Nothobranchius furzeri: one gene and its partners. The protein of the gene in region 1 purifies or fractionates together with the protein of each later gene. This does not show direct contact. Links are inferred from orthologs where the notes say so. Each region holds a gene or a part of one and is shown in the gene's direction. Other genes may lie near its edges. The genes, in order: mcm4, ssrp1a, sf3a1 and plk1.

Region 1 (4,329 bases):
TATATAAGCTACTGGCAGGCATTAACTCAAGTTGAAGCTGTTAACGTCGTTTTTCTGATGATCTCAAATGGTTGTTTCTGTCTGAGAGGCTCTCCTAAATCACCGACAGGCCGACACTTCTCGGAAATGTTTCTCATGGTTTCATCTTTGGAAGTTTGTAGTACTTTTCCTCTGATGCTTCCCTCTGGTGTGGAAAGTGCGCCACACGGTGGTTGTATTTGTACCTGCAGATCACACTTACTTCGAACATTTGATTTTCTTCCTCTTCAATTAAGAGCACATTTAACTGTTATGTCTCATGGTTAAGTGCTCACAGACCACCGTGTAATCAGCACATCACACCCACACCATCGCAGCAACATCATCATTTAATCAACAAACAGACCTCTCTTTAATCCCTATTTTGTAAAGCAATAATATAATTTATTCTAGTACTAACTGTATTCTTAGTCTTCTCTAAGTGTATGTGCTGCTGTAGCAAGGTAATTTCTCCACTGTGGGACTATTCTATTCTACCAACACTATTGGTCTGTATTGCATATTTTGAACCAGAAGATGGCGGAAGTCCTCTGAAATCCAACCAATACAACAAGAAAGTGAGCTATTTAGCCCTAGTATTATTTCAGTTATTGATTAAATAATTTCTTGCAGAACATGTAGTCATGCTATGACATAATTAAAGTATGCTGTCTTAATAAATGCAAAAAGGAAATATCCAAGCTAGACCACACATATGTTGAGTTTCTGTCTAACACGAAAATCGGACCTCAAGAGACTCACGGAAATTCAGAAATTGGTATTTATTTGTTTATTTTTATTATGTTTTTCAGACAAGTTAACAACTTGCTGTACAAGTTTCAACACCTGTTGTTAGCTAATTAAACATACCGATCAGATTTCTCCTCTGTAAAAAAATATATATTTCTAAATTCATTAATCAAGAACTTTTCATAAGCTATAAATCATTTATGAACATATTAATTAACCACCAATAATTAATTCCAAGATACATTTCAGAAACTGGGTAAGAATGGAAACTTAGTCATAAACATTACTTTAAAAGGTCAATAAATTCAATAGTTTTGGGCCAAAGTCTCAAAGTCTCCATAAGTTAGCCAAACGTTGTAAAGCCGTATTAGGATAAGAAATGACGTAAAATGTTGTAATGAAAGATAACAGTGAAAATCCCATTTTCACAATCAGCTGTCCGTTTAAATCTGTAGCCTGATTATATAATGACCATAATAACGCACTTTTGCCATTTCATGTTTCAATCGCAAGAAAAAGTCGCTTCCTGTTGGACGAAACCAAATCAGCTAGGAGGCGTGATCAACAAAACACTTCACGTAGGATTCACAAAACAGGCTGCGAACATTAACATGAATAAAACAAACGTTTTAAAATTAATTTGATAGTTTTTTGGATTATGTAAAATTGTACAGTTATTAATGAGCAGAAAGGAGCAAAACTTAACCGTACACACCTCTGAAGTAAAGGAGTCGGCCGGAAACGGGAGGACAGTCCTTACTTTTTATTGGCTGAAAGTTCCCCGCGAAATCTACGTCAGCAGCAGATTCGCGCCACAACTGCGGCACTCGGACATACACAAAAGTGGTAAGAAAATCAGTAATTCTTCAAGTTAATCCTTGTTAAATCGGTAGGTAGCTTTTCAGTAACTGTACGCTTTGGCAAACAAGCTCATCTTAATTGCGAGCAAATGTTTGGGTTTTGTTTTTATTTAAGTCACATTTAACTCGCAGATCCAGTGAAATCCAACAGGCAGGGAGGTTCATTATTGTCTGTGCAGCCACATGTCAAATGGTGTCCAAAGTTAGCATAAGTGGCTCTAAAACTAACGGATGAGCATAGAACACCTTTTATTGAAGGAAAATGTTAACGTGACCAGATAAGTTGAGTCTGTTAATGAAGTTTGTAGGTCATTTTTGCCGCTAAGCGAGATTTTTCTGACTGTCGTGGTTTGACACTGCAGAGTTCTGTGTAGTTGTCTGACAATCAAGCGATTTCTATTTGAACCGGCCACCAATAGGAACCAGTAATAAACTGCCTACAGTTTAACCAAAACTCTCAGCATGTCAACTTGTTACTATTTAAAGTAAAAACTAAATTCTGAAAGTATTTGGTTGAATGTTAATTTAATTGGATTTAAGGAAATATCAACATGATGACTCCAACGCGTAGAATGGAGAAATTGTACAGAAACTGTTGGCAGTTTTTGATTATTTTTTTACGAAGCTTCTTTCATCCAAACAAAACATGCATCGTGAAAAGAAATGTATTGATCAAGTCTGAACATAAAAACGCTTAAATCACCCTAAGTCTTGTTTTTTGTCATGCAGATATCCCATCAGCCATGTCTTCCCCTGCATCGACTCCTGGTGGCCGCAAACGTGGAAGGAACACCAACCCTTCCACTCGTACGCTCATTTACATGTTCATCCCTGTGATGTGATTTATTGTTGTGAAGCATGCTTTGTTTACTTTGATGTTCTGTGTAAATCTCAGCGCTTAGGGAGGACCCAACCTCGCCTCCCTCTCAGCGACGCAGAGGTCAGGACTCCTCCACTGGTGACCTGATGCCTATGCCCACCTCTCCAGCCACAGACATGGCCAGTCCTGCAGCTCAGCAAGACACCTCCCTGTTCTCGAGCCCGCGGCCTTCAGGTATTTCATAGTTTTATTCTTTATGACCTTTTATAGAATAAAACTGAAATGAGATTATTAATCTGTTTGATGGGATTGCTACAGTTCTGCCTAATGAAGTGGACATGAGCTCCCCTCTGATGTATGGGACCCCGAGCTCCAGGGTCGAAGGGACCCCGCGCAGTGGAGTGCGTGGAACACCGGCCAGACAACGACCTGATCTGGGATCAGTCAGGAAGGCTCCTCAAGTTGATCTTCATTCTGATGCAGTCAGTAGAAGAGCAAGTTTAATGTTTTCAAATCCAGCCTGAAAACAGAGAATCTAAACATTCATTTTTATTTTTCAGCCAAGTGCAGATGGTGTTGCAGCAAATGAACCAAATGCAGCCCAGAGTCTGGTGATCTGGGGGACTGATGTCAACGTGGGAACCTGCAAGGAGAAGTTCCAGGTATGACCGTAACTGATATGTGATGTCTTTTTATTAGAACAAGTCTTTATGATCTTTTTGTGCTTTCAGAGGTTTCTGCAGCGGTTCATCGACCCAAATTCTACTGAGGATGAGAACGCTGGTCTGGACTTAAATGAGCCTTTGTACATGCAGAAGCTGGAAGAGGTACTCGCTGGTTCTACCGTGATCCTGCAGATCGTGTTCAGGTATTAACTTTCATGTCTTCGTCTCTCAGATCAGCGTTGTGGGTGACCCCGTGATAAACGTCAACTGCCAACATGTGCAGTCCTTTGACGCAGACCTGTACAGGCAGCTCATCTGCTACCCACAAGTATGGTAGTTCCGTTTAAACTTTAAAAATGAGAAAAAGTAAATTATTAAAGTGGGAAACATCCTGTTGTGTATTTTTTTGCAGGAAGTTATCCCGACCTTTGACATGGCCGTCAATGAGCTTTTCTTTGAGCGTTTCCCAGATTCCATTCTGGAGTACCAGATCCAAGTTCGCCCCTACAACGCCCTGAAAACCAGAAACATGAGGAGTCTGAACCCAGAAGGTGTGTGTGTGTGTTCATTAATTCAGGCCCAGATGAGCACATGCAAAACCTCCCATCCCATATTTTGTGTGGGGTTTCTGTGAACACTAACGCTTGTCGCCCCCACAGACATCGATCAGCTAATCACCATCAGCGGCATGGTGATCCGCACCTCGCAGCTCATCCCAGAGATGCAGGAGGCCTTCTTCCAGTGCCAGGTGTGCGCCTTCACCGTCCGCATGGAGGTGGATCGCGGCCGCATCGCCGAGCCGGGCGTGTGTCGCCACTGCAACAACACCCACAGTCTGGCGCTGATTCACAACCGCTCGGTCTTCTCTGACAAACAGATGGTGGGAGTTTGATGCTTCATGGTGACATCATCATCTGAATGTGGCAGGTGGTACTTAGTGATGCGTTGACAGATTCTGACATCTGTTCATTCACTGATCTTTGCAACAGATCAAAATTCAGGAGTCTCCCGAAGACATGCCGGCCGGGCAGACGCCTCACACCACGGTTGTGTACGCTCACAATGACCTGGTTGATAAAGTTCAGCCTGGAGACAGAGTAAACATCACCGGTAAGACCTCGAACTCATCCCTGCAGGAATAAACGTCACAATAATTCCCTTGGAACATTCAACCTGAGAAGATCAGTTCACATTTCACTTGAGTGCATCGACTTTT
Region 2 (3,612 bases), on another chromosome or scaffold:
AAGAAAACCAGAAAACTCTTGATCACATCCAGGATGACTGAGTCTACACCAACGTGCTGCAAGAAGCAGCAACGATTCAGTCAAAAGGAAAACAGATTTCAAATATTAAAAGCTCTGAGTAAAAAGTGCCGAAAAGCAAAAGATAAATCTCACATCTTTGTGTGTTGTGAGATTTTATTTGATTTATTATTATTATTATTATTATTATGTGTATTTATTTATTTAATACCTGTAGCGGGTCCTAGTGGGCTGGACCTGGTGTCATCCACCACAGAGACAGGCTGCTCATCTATGATGGCTTTATTTTTCAAGTTCGATGCTCAGCCTGCCGACTGTCGCACTCGTACAGACGAGTGATAGTGTGTGCCGCTGCGTCTGACTCCGTTAGCTGCTCCAGGTTTTTATTCTATTTCTGCAGTGAGCCTTGAAAATTCACATCCCTGCAAGAGTTTATTCTTTAAGAGTCATATTAAGTCCATTGTGTTGATGCATTTTAGAGAGCTTCCCTCATGCAATACTTTTTCATTGCAAAATGCAACGTTTACATCACCCTCCGTTTGGCAGACGCGTGTTTGCACTTCAGCTGCTGCACACATGCACAGTGCGACAGAAGGGGGTAGGGAATCGCGATGCTGCACACAGGGTCTCCGCAGGCTGCAACACAGCATGGGACATAAAGGCATTGATGGGAATTTGCACACGTTTTTTGTTTGTTTTTTATGAAAATTGGCCAGTTTTGGTCAGAACATCCCCAGTGTTAACTTACTATTGCCTGGTTCAAACAGGGAAAAGGGAAATTCACTAACTCAAATTTAACTTGAGTGTAGGTCTTCCTTTTGGTAACGGTGATGCTTAGTTTCATTGTCCTGGACCATAAAACATTTGAGGGTTTGTAGTCAAAGTGATTTTAGACATGAAACAGGTCAAAGCTAACTTGCTTGTAGTGTTTTAGTAACGGTGCAATCTGGAGCTGAAACGTCACACCTCCTGTTTTGGTTACTGGTTGTGTTTCCTTTGACTGTGGTTGATGCTGGATCCAAGACGGATAGGGAGGACGGTGTCCCACGAGCAAAACTCAGGCTTTGTGAAGCCGCGACACCTTCAAACATCTAACCACAGTCTGGGCTAGCGTGTTAGCTCTGACGTTGTGTGTTTGTGGTGTTTTCCTGACCGTGCTGCGTACTTTCCAGGGCATGAAGGGTAAAATCGACGAGTACAGCGACTCAGACGAAGACCAGCACGATGCCTATCTGGAGAGGATGAAGGCTGAGGGCAAGATCAGAGAGGAGGGCAATGACAGCGACGAGTCGGATGGAAGTGGAAGCGGTTAGTGACTGTTTCAAATGTAACCGCTCGCGATGAGAGGATGGTAATGGTTGAACGAGGGTTTTCTTCTCTCTTTAGATGAGTCCTTCAACCCTGGAGAAGAAGATGATGAAATTGCAGAAGAGTAAGTTTGGTTTAACTTCATTTTTAAAGCTTGAGATGATACCTGTAGTTGTTGTAAACGTCTGTTCCTCCTTTCTTCCAGGTACGATAGTAACGCCTCTGCAAGTGACAGCAGCGAAGAGGGGGGGGACAGTGAAGATGAGGGTGCAAAGAAGAAAAAGGCTAAAAAAGCCAAAGTTGTGAAGGAGAAAAAGGAGAGAAAACCACGTAAAGAGGTGAGAGACCAGCAGGAGGAGAACATTAGGCTTCAAAAGCCTGATTTCACGATCTAACATAAACCGGCTGTGCCGTACATTAACCCATCGAACTCGACATGACTGCTGACTCTTATATCCTAAATTCAAACAGAAGAAGCAGAAGGACACCGGTGGGCCGAAGAGGCCGATGAGCGCCTACATGCTTTGGCTCAACTCCAGCCGAGAGCGAATCAAGGCGGAGAACCCCGGCATCTCCATCACCGAGATATCGAAGAAAGCCGGAGAGATGTGGAGGCAGCTGGGCAAAGACGAGAAGGAGGTGAGAACATCACAGAGGTGCTTTTACATTTCTGCTGCGTTTTATTAAACTCACACGGATGTGCCCTCCAGGAGTGGGAAACAAAGGCAGGAGAGGCAAAAAAGCAGTACGACAAAGCTAAGAAGGAGTTCAAGGAGAGCGGCGGAGGATCCACCTCCACCTCCAAGAAGTAAGGCTCTCATCACAGGAGCAGTTTTTATGTTTCTTCATCAGAGTTGTTACACATCTGCTTTCTTTCCTCCACACGTCTGATCATTAGAGAAAGTAAAAAATCTGGAGGCAAAAAGGATGAGAAGAAGAGGAAGTCTGCGGGCGCAGACAAAGAGAGGGAGCGAAGCGGAGGCAACGACAGCTTTAAGAGCCGAGAGTTCATCGAGACCAGCGAGGACAGTTCCTCTGACTCAGACCGCAAGAGCAAAAGCAAGAGGAAAAAGGTAGGAGCCGGCGGTAGAACATCAGTCTGTAGTCAGGACAGTCATTCTGCTGAGTGATGACAAACTCATAAATACGTTAATTCTAAATGGACACAGGTTTTCATTAAAGCCAGGCGTCCCAGTTCAGATCAGTTTAATGAAAAAGCAGCAGTTTCCCCCCGTGTCCTCAACCGACTACTAAGAGGAGAAGCTGATATTTAGTAATCTTTGCTACAAAGAAGTTCAAAGCTCTGAAGATCAGAATCTCACCTCTGCTTTTCTTTTTACAGCTTAGCCGTGTTTTAGAAGAAGCAGCAGCAGCGTGACGTGTAAACGACAGACTAGAGTAGCTCTCATCTTTTAAATTTGAACTCTACTAGTCTAATGTACAAGCATCTGATCAGTGAGGCGTTAGCGCATCAGAACTTTTAACACTTTCATCGTGCCTCTACTGCTGATAACACCAGCTCTTCTGTTGACTTCAGGAATCGGATGAAGAGGAGGAGGAAGCTGTGTCCACACCGGCAAGCTCAGAGCCAGAGTCTGATTAGATACTCACACACACACACACACCAAGGACCAACTGTTTATACTGATGATTTCAGATCAGTCAGCAAACTGGAGTTGTATGGTTTTATTCTCCATGTGGTTACAACAATAAAACCCTGTGACCACGTTTGGATCTGTAATGTGATATTTGAGCAGCTCAGATGCATGATGGGATACCTGCAGCTTATCACCAGCCAACCCATGGTTGTGTTGGTTAAACAGCACTGAGGACTGTAGGACTTACTAGTTTTATCAAGTGGATGCTCCAGAAGGTTCCAGATGAATATTCCTTCTGTTTAGTGCTCTTCAAAGTGATATTTTTGTTTGTTTTGCCTTGTCATGTTTTCTCAATCAAAATAAAAGCTTTTCAGTAATCTTTTTCCTTTGCGTACAACCACTAGCATCATGCTTCTGGCTTGCTGCTGCCCTCTTCGTCTGTAAAAACAAAACTCAAACTTGGTGTGAAATGTTTTATGCACCATACATCCCTCCGCCATAACATTATGACCATAGACCAAGCAAAAGCGGAAACTGTCACTCAGGTGGGTAATTGTACACTGCAGGTAAATATTTAAAGATTTTTTTTTTTTTTTGTGAGGATGAACCACAAGTTCCCAATGGGAATATAATTTGTGTCTGACCACATACTAAATGTTTTGTTCTCCGAGCCATTTTCTGACTTGGC
Region 3 (4,265 bases), on another chromosome or scaffold:
CCCCCTAAATGCCTAACGTTTCAGTTTAACATGAATATTAGTCATTCATCACAATACATAAAGTTACACATTTTAAATTTTAATAGGGGAAGACTGCAGGAGGGAGCGGTAAAATACAGAAATCCCCAGCAAAAACAAGAAACTTTACGAGTCTGATGAAACCCGCTGGAGTTCCTTCAGCAGGCCTGGTGGCAGCTACAACGACCCAGTGGCTGTGCTTGGTCAATGTTATCGAGCTCAGTCCGGCTCGGCCGTGAACGAGCCGAGGCGACATCCTGCTCTGCTTAAGAAGAGGTGTTATTTTCCGCTTCAGAAGAAGCGTCCGTGTTTTACGCTTTCTCAGAGACATGTCACGTTGCTAAGTTGTTAGCGCCGCGCGCTAACACGTCAATAGTGCAGCATAGCCTGCTGGAGGGTTCAGATGAAAACACCCTACCACTCAGGCTGCTTACACATCGATATTAAGTTGTCGCTGTTGCGCTCACGCCGTAATACAGTATTAGATGCGGTTAAAGTCAGACATGAAAAACTCCACGAGCGGTCAGACCGCGCAGCAGCTAGGCGCAGCAAATAGGCGCCGGATCGTCCAGGCTGCCCGGCCTGACCGCTGGGGATTACCGGATGGAAGAATGGACACAGAAGTCTCCCTCTTAGCGCTCCGTCATATTTCAACCCATTTTTATCTTAAATGCACTGGGTTTTACCCTATTACCCATCTAAATATGCCCTATTAATTATTTTACCGTATTTTACATTTAAATTTCATGGTTAAACAGTACATGCTACATGTTAAACTGATAGTTAGCTAGCTACTTCGGTAAACTCAGCTAGTTTAAAGGTAGCAGTGACATAAAATACGAATATAGATTTTAACTTACCGAAAAAAATGAAGTGGAGACTCCTTGGACGCTCTATTAGTGCAATTAATACCACTGCAAGTCATTTTGTCCAACAATTGCACCAATAATATCCAAAGAAGAATACACAAACACAGAGACTCAAAATGCCGGAGCAGTTTCCAAGCCAGACCGAGGCTGTACTGAGGCCTTTCCACGGAGCTAGCTCTGTGGTCACGTGGGTCTGAGGCGGCGGTCACGTGTGTTGGATGCTCATTAATTATACAGAATTTTAGGCTTTCAATACACTTAAACAGAAGAGTGAGAAAAAAATTCACCCCCCTCAGAGTTGTCATGAGTATAAACTAGATAATTTAGACAAAAAACATGTTTTGGCACCAGGCTGTAAACATGTTTATTTCTGCTGTGAAATCGGCATTTTTAACATGGGAGTCAATGAGGATTTGCTCGCTTCTGGCACCAGCCCCCAGCGGATGAGGGTGGAACTGCAATTTTTCTTACTTCCGGGATGGGACCATTTTCTGAGCGGCATTGTGGGGGCTTGGTTGCCACCCATGGCCTTTTGTTGGAATTATTTCGTTTTGGGTGGTAAAAGGCCGCAACAGAATCATTTGCATATCTTCACTGACCCCCGCATTTCCTGCACATCACAAGATGAAGTTTGGGAACAGAGAGAACAAGCTCAGAGACCTTTATGCTGACGTGTTCTAAACAGGAAATGCAGCACTGACGAGGATTAATAAAGCAACCAACGCTGTTTCTAATAAAGGCAAGTAAAACATGTCAGCTCAGTTTTTTCAACAATAAGGTTTTTATTTAGTCAGTTGCATCCACGTTGATCTGGTTTTTTACATGAAACTCCAAGGAATAAAACTGGCTTCATGTCTGCAGAGGTGCAGGTTCCTATTCAGACACATACATTACAAATGAGTTATAATAATCCCAACGGTGCATGATCTACTTCACATGAAACTCCTTTGTGTACATCCATACCCTGCAGGCATTTTGCTGAGCTCTTGTTTTCAATTTCTCAAGACTTTTGTGCAGAGTAGCATTTTCCTGTTCCATCACTTTTATACGAATTCTGTTTGCTTGAAGCTGTTGCTCCATATCCAAAATCAAGTTTCCTGTACCTAGAATGTAAATAAAGTCATGTGCTATTATTATACTGGAAATAAATCTAATCAAATATAATCAGATAATGTTATTCAGTAGCAACCTACTCTGAGGTTGGGCCTGGGACCAGTTGTTGAGCTCTGGGAAAGCCACCAGCAGTCTCTCCCTCTCCTTTAAAGAGTCCACACGCCTTGTCAGGTCAGCCACTTGCTTTTTCAACTCATCCGCATTTACTTCTAATGTCTGCTTCTCCTTCTGGAGCTCCTCACACAAATTCTGATGGAAGAACAAGAACAAAACAGACTTTATTATAACTAAGGCCATTTACAGTACAATTGTATTGCATTTTAGGCCACATATATACCTGCTGCTGCATGAGCTGAGCCTGCTGTTCCTCCACCTTTGACATCTGATTGTGTAAGGTGATCCGTTCCTCCTCTTTCTCTCCTAGCTCCCTCTGCAGCTCTTCGCACTCTTCATCGAGAGCATCAACTCTTTCCAGCAACGACTTTTGCTTTGCCAGCATTGACTGGATACACAATTATATTGAAAACAGTGTGAAGGATCCCCTTTATAGCTATGCTGGCCTTTACAGTGACACTGACCTCCTGCTGACGACAGGCGCTCCTGTACTTGGCCTTCTCCTTGTCAAGAAGAAATGTAGCATCAGAAACTTGAGTTTCTAGCTGTTGGATCTGTTCCTGCAGTCTGCAGCAGGCCTCTTTCTCTGTTTGCAGGTTCTTCACTTTCTCATGGAGTGCTTTCTTTTCAGTTTCTACCAGCAAATGAATCGTCATTATGCAGCATCATACTGTAGATGTGTTGAATGACAGAATCTGCATCTCATTACCAAGCACTTGTAAGCTGTCATGTTGCAGTGCTATTTTCTCCTTTAGTCTGTTATTAGTCTCCTCCAGGGACATATTTTCTGTCACAAAAATGTGAAAAATATTTATAGTAAAAACTATGATGTCAATACATTCTTGTTATAAAACCGATTGTGTTAACTACCTCTCTTCAGCTGTTGTTGCTCCTTTTGTAGCCTTTGCTCTGTTTCTTTTGAGGATCTCTGTGCTTTCCGTAGAGAAAACTCCAGCTGGACAGAGTTTATTTGGTGTTTTTCCAGCTCTTGCTTGAATTGTTTCTGTGCACTTTCCAGCTCAGATTTGAAACTGTCACGTTCCATTTCAGCTACGGCAATTCTTTCTTCAAGAGGCTGCACAGTACCCTGGACATCCTTAAGATGTTTGGTCAGCCGGCTCGTGTCCCGGAGCTGCTCTTCGGCCCACTGGGCTACATCGCCTGATGTCATGTCACCCACAATGTCCTCCATAGCTGCTGCGAGAGGCTGCAGAGATGAGGGCAAACCCTCACTCTGTAACAGATCTATCAATGCATCTCCCGTGTTTCTCAAAAGGGACTGCACCTGATGGCAAGCGCTGCAGGGAATAAGGGACGAACTTGTTGTCTGGCAGCTCACATGATGCTGCTCAGCTTTAGGATAGCATGGAGTGTTGTTAGTTTGTGGGACAAAATCAAATGAGCTTGCTGAAGACAAGGCAGATGCACAAAAGCTACTAAGTTCAGTCTTCGAGCTAGTTATAGCAGGGTTGGACAGCACCATATTTGTGTTGTTGGAGTCAAATGGCTTTGTATCTTTAAAGGGCTCCTGTGAAAAAGAAAGCATAAAAGTATCCAGATCTTTCATTTAAAATGCAATTTTTAGAGTATTTTGTATTTTCTAACATTAATACTACCTTTTTGTTGGCTGATAGGAGTAAATTCCCACAGTAGTTCTTGACCACGAGTCCAACTGACAAGTATGTTGTCTGCTGGGTTTGCTCTCCTCTCTGTCTGCCTCTCGGCACCTCATTGTAAACACTAACACTTTGTAGAAGTAGCAATAATCTTTTTAGAAAAGGAGAAAGGCAAATGTTAATAGAATTACTTTGGTAACAATGCATAACATATAAAACACATTTTATTACCTGTCAATCACTAATTCCAGTAAAACAATGTGGGAGTGCTGATTGAAGGCATCCTCTCCGTCTACATAGTCGTACTCCTCCAGCAGAGCCAACATGTCCACATTACAGGAGAGTTTGTCAGGGAACTTCCAAGAGGTAAAGCTGACCGGTCCTGTTCTGGAAAAGACGTCCACGATGGCTGCTTGGATGTCCGCCAGATCTTTTTGGAGGCTTTTGATGCAGTCTTGACTACCTAACAGCTCACTCATGATCCCCAGATTTAGTTTAATTCTGTCTTCGATGCGATGAAAAGGTCGAGCTCATT
Region 4 (4,299 bases), on another chromosome or scaffold:
TAGGAAAAAACATCCTTTGTCCTGGTTTTGCTAACGCTTTACTTTATGTAGGTGAAAAATTAAAGAGCTCACAGCACCCTTGAGATTCCAGTGAGCCAAAACTGTGGAAGAAAAGAAGATGAAACATGGAGGGAGGTAACCTACTCTACTTTCTTTGTGCCCCTCTGCAGAGGACGTTCAGCTCTCTGCAAAATCCTGTGTAATAAACTAAATGTGTGTAAATGTTGACCCATACAAGCACAGACAAGCTTACTTCATTTAGTTTTCCCTACAGCATCTTCTGTGTGTTGCCATGGAAACACATGGCAGCAGAAGAGAAGGATGAATGTGCAAAAATGGAACAGACACATATAAGCCAGCAATCTCCACACATCACCCACCAGTCGGACTAAAGCCTGAAGACCATTTATAAACAAACACACAAAGTGAAAAAACAAAAAACTGTAAAACACACATATTTTAAAGAGTGTGTGCATAGTAAATAGTCCCTATATTAAACATCCCCCCTTATAACAAAGTCAAATCAGCCACTAGCTGTGCACTCTTACTTTTTGTTTTAATAACTATGGGAGGCTTCAACAGAAAATGATTCCCTGGAAAAAGTGTTGTGGACTGAAATTTTTATTTTAAGATGATGTTACCTATTTAATGATTAGACATTTATAAAGTTAATTCTAGACCATCATGACAATAATCTATTTATGATCTCATTATTTACAGCTGTGAATCCGTGCTGTGTCATATGAAGTGCTTATTGTGTGATTGGTCTGAAAAAAGTGCTTTCTCAAGGAACAATAATTGTGAATTTGTCCACTGCTGCCACCCAGTGGAATATGTGTGAAAGTGAATTAAACTATCAATAATGTAATTTTTTGCAACATCATGATTTTCTCAATTTACCTTTTAACTGTAGAAATACACAATTTAATAGTTCTGTGCCGATATCGTTTTTGCAAACATGCTTTTATTACTCAAAACGTTTGTGCATTTCGTCTTATTTTATTTCAATTTTCGTTTTTATTTTGACCACACTGTCGTTTCACTGTTTTATCCAGTTTAATAATATGATTACATGTTAAAATTAAATCCTTCTTGGATTCTGGATGACGATAAAATCAAGTAAAATCTAACACTAGTCTACATTTACCATCAGCCTTTGCGTTAAGGAAACGCAAGACGTCATTGAGCCAATCACGATGTTAGAACTTTATTTCAACCCCGTTGATTGGCTAGTTTTGCATTTTTCTTCCCACAATGCTTTGCGTAGAATTCAAATCAAGTGGACCAATGAGAAAGCGCCGTGGCGACAGAGCGAGCATTTAACTTAATACTAGAAACTGTTTTCGAAGGGCAGAACAGAACACAGGAGACGCCGCCGTCGGACACGTCTGCTGAATTATTCCATGAGGAAAGCAGATTTATTTTAATATTTATGTCTATATATGTCGTTTTATAATTGTAGAACCTAATGTTAATTATCGCTTGCTTTCAGGAAGTCTAAACTCGTGATTAGATTTAAATTCAGACGTGTATGGGAGAAAGTTAGCTAGCTAGGCTAAAGTAACGTCGGTTGTGTTAGGGTTAGTAGTTTGATTCTTGTAGTTTTCACCACGTTTACTGCGCGGAGAGAAAATAAACATTCCTGTAAGTTCATAGAAGACAGCTCTAATACAAAATGAGTGCTGGTACCGCAAAGCCGTTGGAACGTGCGGATCCCAAATCGGCACCTCTCAAAGAAATCCCAGAAATTCTCGTTGATTCCCGAACCATGAAAAGATACACGAGGGGGAGATTCCTCGGGAAGGGTGGTTTCGCCAAATGCTACGAGATCACAGATGTAGAGACGAAGACGGTGTTTGCTGGCAAGATCGTAGCTAAGTATTTGTTACAAAAGCAGCACCAAAGGGATAAGATGACCTCGGAAATCGCCATACACAAGAGTCTGGATCACGCTAACATCGTCGGCTTCCACGGGTTTTTCGAAGACGATGACCATGTGTTTGTGGTCCTGGAGATCTGCAGGAGAAGGGTGAGTACGATGGAAGGAAACCAGCTTTTCAGTGAGGTTTAGAGCCGACGGTTAAACACTGCGACATCTTCCGTTGTCCTCATGTTTAAATAGTGGGAAGCAAGCAGTACCAGACTCATTTAACACCTCACAACTATTTGATCTTTGATAAAAACATCTTAAAAAGAAACTTCTAGCCTATAAATGTGGGTTTATTGGTCCAGTACCACTCTGGTGGCCCCATGTGTACCATATGTTCAATCTTATAATTAAACGCATAAAAGATCACTCTTTTCTTGAGCTGTTGTCTTGACTGTTTAAAATGCTTTATTTCAGTCCTTGCTGGAGCTGCACAAACGCCGCAAGGCTGTGACGGAGCCTGAAGCTCGCTACTACATGGCCCAGCTGCTGAAGGGTGTCCAGTACCTGCACAACAACAAGGTCATCCACAGAGACCTGAAACTGGGCAATATCTTCCTCAACGACGACATGGATGTCAAAATTGGTACTCCACTTGCTTGGACTTGTAGCTTGCACTAGATCTTTTGTTTTTATCACGTCGAGAAGGATTTGAATCAAAGCATGCCTCGTTATTACGTGTTCTCTCTTGTTTAGGGGACTTTGGCTTGGCGACTAAGATCGAGTTTGAAGGCGAACGAAAGAAGACTTTGTGTGGAACGCCCAACTACATAGCACCAGAAGTGCTTTGTAAAAAGGGCCACAGCTATGAGGTCGATGTCTGGTCACTTGGGTGCATATTGTAAGTACAGGCCCACAAACGCAACTCATTTGAAATGTCCCAGCTGTGAAAGCTTCCCTTTTCTGTTCTTTCAGGTACACTCTGTTGGTGGGCAAGCCCCCGTTTGAGACCTCCTGTTTGAAGGACACCTACAGTCGCATCAAGAAGAACAACTACACCATCCCCTGGGTATGAAAATCAAACTGAATGCACCGTTTTCTTTCTAAAATTAAGTTAATAATTGAGTCGTATGATCTGAACAACCTGCAGCACATCACCCCGACTGCGGCGACTCTGATCAAGAAGATGCTGCACGCCGATCCTGCACAGAGGCCAAGCGTTGCTGAAGTGCAGGCCGATGAGTTCTTTACGTCCGGCTACATCCCCCTCCGTCTGCCCACCACGTGTCTTACTGTACCCCCTCGGTTCTCCATCGCCCCCTCCACAACTGCAGAGCTCAGCCAGCGGCGTCCTCTGACTGCTCTAAACAAGGGTAATGGCGATCAAAATGAAAATCTTTGTTTTTATTTTTCCTAGGCAATGATGTTTGAGTTGATCCACATAGATTTTATTAGTCTTGTTTTAGATGTTAACGTTTTTTTTTTCTTTGTTCCCAGTTGGTACGGAGAAAACGGAGGTGAAAGACGAGCCTATGCAAAGGTGTTTTTCATTTATTTATCACATGACAAACATTTTATAAAAATTCTAGTTCTGTTAGTTTTTATCTTTTCTTTGCGTAGATGTTGTTAACCTTTAAATGTGTGTGTGTGCAGGGCGGCTGAACCATCAGAGCCCTACCTGAAAGACATGCTGCAGCAGCTGAACAGCATCATGTCCACCAAACCCTCTGAAAGGGCCGTCATCCAGCAAGGTTAGTGGACGTGTCTCACTTCGTCTTTACCGATCTTGTGGAGTCTCTGTTGCTATTTCTCTGAATTTTGTCAAAACGGATGCGGTTATCTACTTTTTAATCTACATCTAAGGTTTTTTTGTGTAATTCCAGAGGAGGCCGAGGATCCTGCGTGCATCCCCATCTTCTGGATCAGCAAATGGGTCGACTACTCTGATAAATATGGATTAGGTAAATGTTAGGAGACCGTTTGTTTGTTCACATAAGCTGCAATTTTAACTTTGTAAGTTTGGTTTAGACTATTAAAAGTATATACAGGGTATCTGCAGGTCCATAAAAAGTCTTAAATTAGCTTTTCCAAATTTAAGGCCTTAAAAATCCTTAAAAATGACAAATAGTCCTTAAATAGTTTCCAACGGTCTTAAATTACCAAAGACCCAATAAACAAGATTCTTTTATTTCTATAAAATTTTCATGAATTTCTAGTTAGTTTGGCATTTTTTGTGTATGATATTGGCGTAAGCGGAACCGTACACATTCGGTTGGTTGTGAAAGGGGGCTATTTTTAGATGAGCATGCTAGTGGGAGTTTGCACCATGGGGAAGTGCAACATTAATGGTAAATGGATGGCTAATCCCACGTTCACGACCTGGTTAGCACCGGTTCCAGGCAATAGCTGGAAATTATAGCTTAAATTTAATT

The links.
Region 2: the proteins of mcm4 (region 1) and ssrp1a purify together in Homo sapiens (affinity purification with mass spectrometry; 4 studies listed by BioGRID and IntAct, counting the BioPlex papers as one, with this or other methods). This does not show direct contact. The link is inferred for Nothobranchius furzeri from reciprocal best matches to the Homo sapiens genes MCM4 and SSRP1.
Region 3: the proteins of mcm4 (region 1) and sf3a1 fractionate together in Homo sapiens (co-fractionation; 3 studies listed by BioGRID, with this or other methods). This does not show direct contact. The link is inferred for Nothobranchius furzeri from reciprocal best matches to the Homo sapiens genes MCM4 and SF3A1.
Region 4: the proteins of mcm4 (region 1) and plk1 purify together in Homo sapiens (affinity purification with mass spectrometry; 3 studies listed by BioGRID and IntAct, with this or other methods). This does not show direct contact. The link is inferred for Nothobranchius furzeri from reciprocal best matches to the Homo sapiens genes MCM4 and PLK1.

What each region holds. Positions count from the first base shown.
Region 1 is NC_091751.1:50,642,752-50,647,080, reverse strand, and holds the start of mcm4 (DNA replication licensing factor MCM4), read left to right. Parts: upstream 1-1,519; 5' UTR 1,520-1,614; intron 1,615-2,357; 5' UTR 2,358-2,371; coding exon 2,372-2,435; intron 2,436-2,523; coding exon 2,524-2,682; intron 2,683-2,766; coding exon 2,767-2,930; intron 2,931-3,008; coding exon 3,009-3,110; intron 3,111-3,179; coding exon 3,180-3,275; intron 3,276-3,345; coding exon 3,346-3,441; intron 3,442-3,525; coding exon 3,526-3,664; intron 3,665-3,772; coding exon 3,773-3,993; intron 3,994-4,102; coding exon 4,103-4,223; intron 4,224-4,329. UniProt on the Homo sapiens protein: Acts as a component of the MCM2-7 complex (MCM complex) which is the replicative helicase essential for 'once per cell cycle' DNA replication initiation and elongation in eukaryotic cells.
Region 2 is NC_091741.1:91,665,341-91,668,952, forward strand, and holds the end of ssrp1a (FACT complex subunit SSRP1a), read left to right. Parts: intron 1-1,190; coding exon 1,191-1,326; intron 1,327-1,404; coding exon 1,405-1,450; intron 1,451-1,531; coding exon 1,532-1,664; intron 1,665-1,797; coding exon 1,798-1,965; intron 1,966-2,036; coding exon 2,037-2,134; intron 2,135-2,224; coding exon 2,225-2,399; intron 2,400-2,863; coding exon 2,864-2,929; 3' UTR 2,930-3,055; downstream 3,056-3,612. UniProt on the Homo sapiens protein: Component of the FACT complex, a general chromatin factor that acts to reorganize nucleosomes. The FACT complex is involved in multiple processes that require DNA as a template such as mRNA elongation, DNA replication and DNA repair.
Region 3 is NC_091757.1:36,509,353-36,513,617, forward strand, and holds the start of sf3a1 (splicing factor 3A subunit 1), read left to right. Parts: upstream 1-1,411; 5' UTR 1,412-1,626; intron 1,627-1,645; exon of another isoform or gene 1,646-1,736; coding exon of another isoform or gene 1,737-1,760; exon of another isoform or gene 1,761-1,814; coding exon of another isoform or gene 1,815-1,990; intron 1,991-2,080; coding exon of another isoform or gene 2,081-2,249; intron 2,250-2,337; coding exon of another isoform or gene 2,338-2,502; intron 2,503-2,578; coding exon of another isoform or gene 2,579-2,748; intron 2,749-2,823; coding exon of another isoform or gene 2,824-2,901; intron 2,902-2,984; coding exon of another isoform or gene 2,985-3,642; intron 3,643-3,730; coding exon of another isoform or gene 3,731-3,881; intron 3,882-3,961; coding exon of another isoform or gene 3,962-4,209; exon of another isoform or gene 4,210-4,265. Other genes in the region: ccdc157 (coiled-coil domain-containing protein 157), read right to left, coding at 1,815-1,990, 2,081-2,249, 2,338-2,502, 2,579-2,748, 2,824-2,901, 2,985-3,642, 3,731-3,881, 3,962-4,209. UniProt on the Homo sapiens protein: Component of the 17S U2 SnRNP complex of the spliceosome, a large ribonucleoprotein complex that removes introns from transcribed pre-mRNAs.
Region 4 is NC_091744.1:8,886,428-8,890,726, forward strand, and holds the start of plk1 (serine/threonine-protein kinase PLK1), read left to right. Parts: upstream 1-1,495; 5' UTR 1,496-1,675; coding exon 1,676-2,029; intron 2,030-2,344; coding exon 2,345-2,513; intron 2,514-2,623; coding exon 2,624-2,768; intron 2,769-2,842; coding exon 2,843-2,936; intron 2,937-3,017; coding exon 3,018-3,240; intron 3,241-3,364; coding exon 3,365-3,407; intron 3,408-3,520; coding exon 3,521-3,618; intron 3,619-3,750; coding exon 3,751-3,828; intron 3,829-4,299. UniProt on the Homo sapiens protein: Serine/threonine-protein kinase that performs several important functions throughout M phase of the cell cycle, including the regulation of centrosome maturation and spindle assembly, the removal of cohesins from chromosome arms, the inactivation of anaphase-promoting complex/cyclosome (APC/C) inhibitors, and the regulation of mitotic exit and cytokinesis.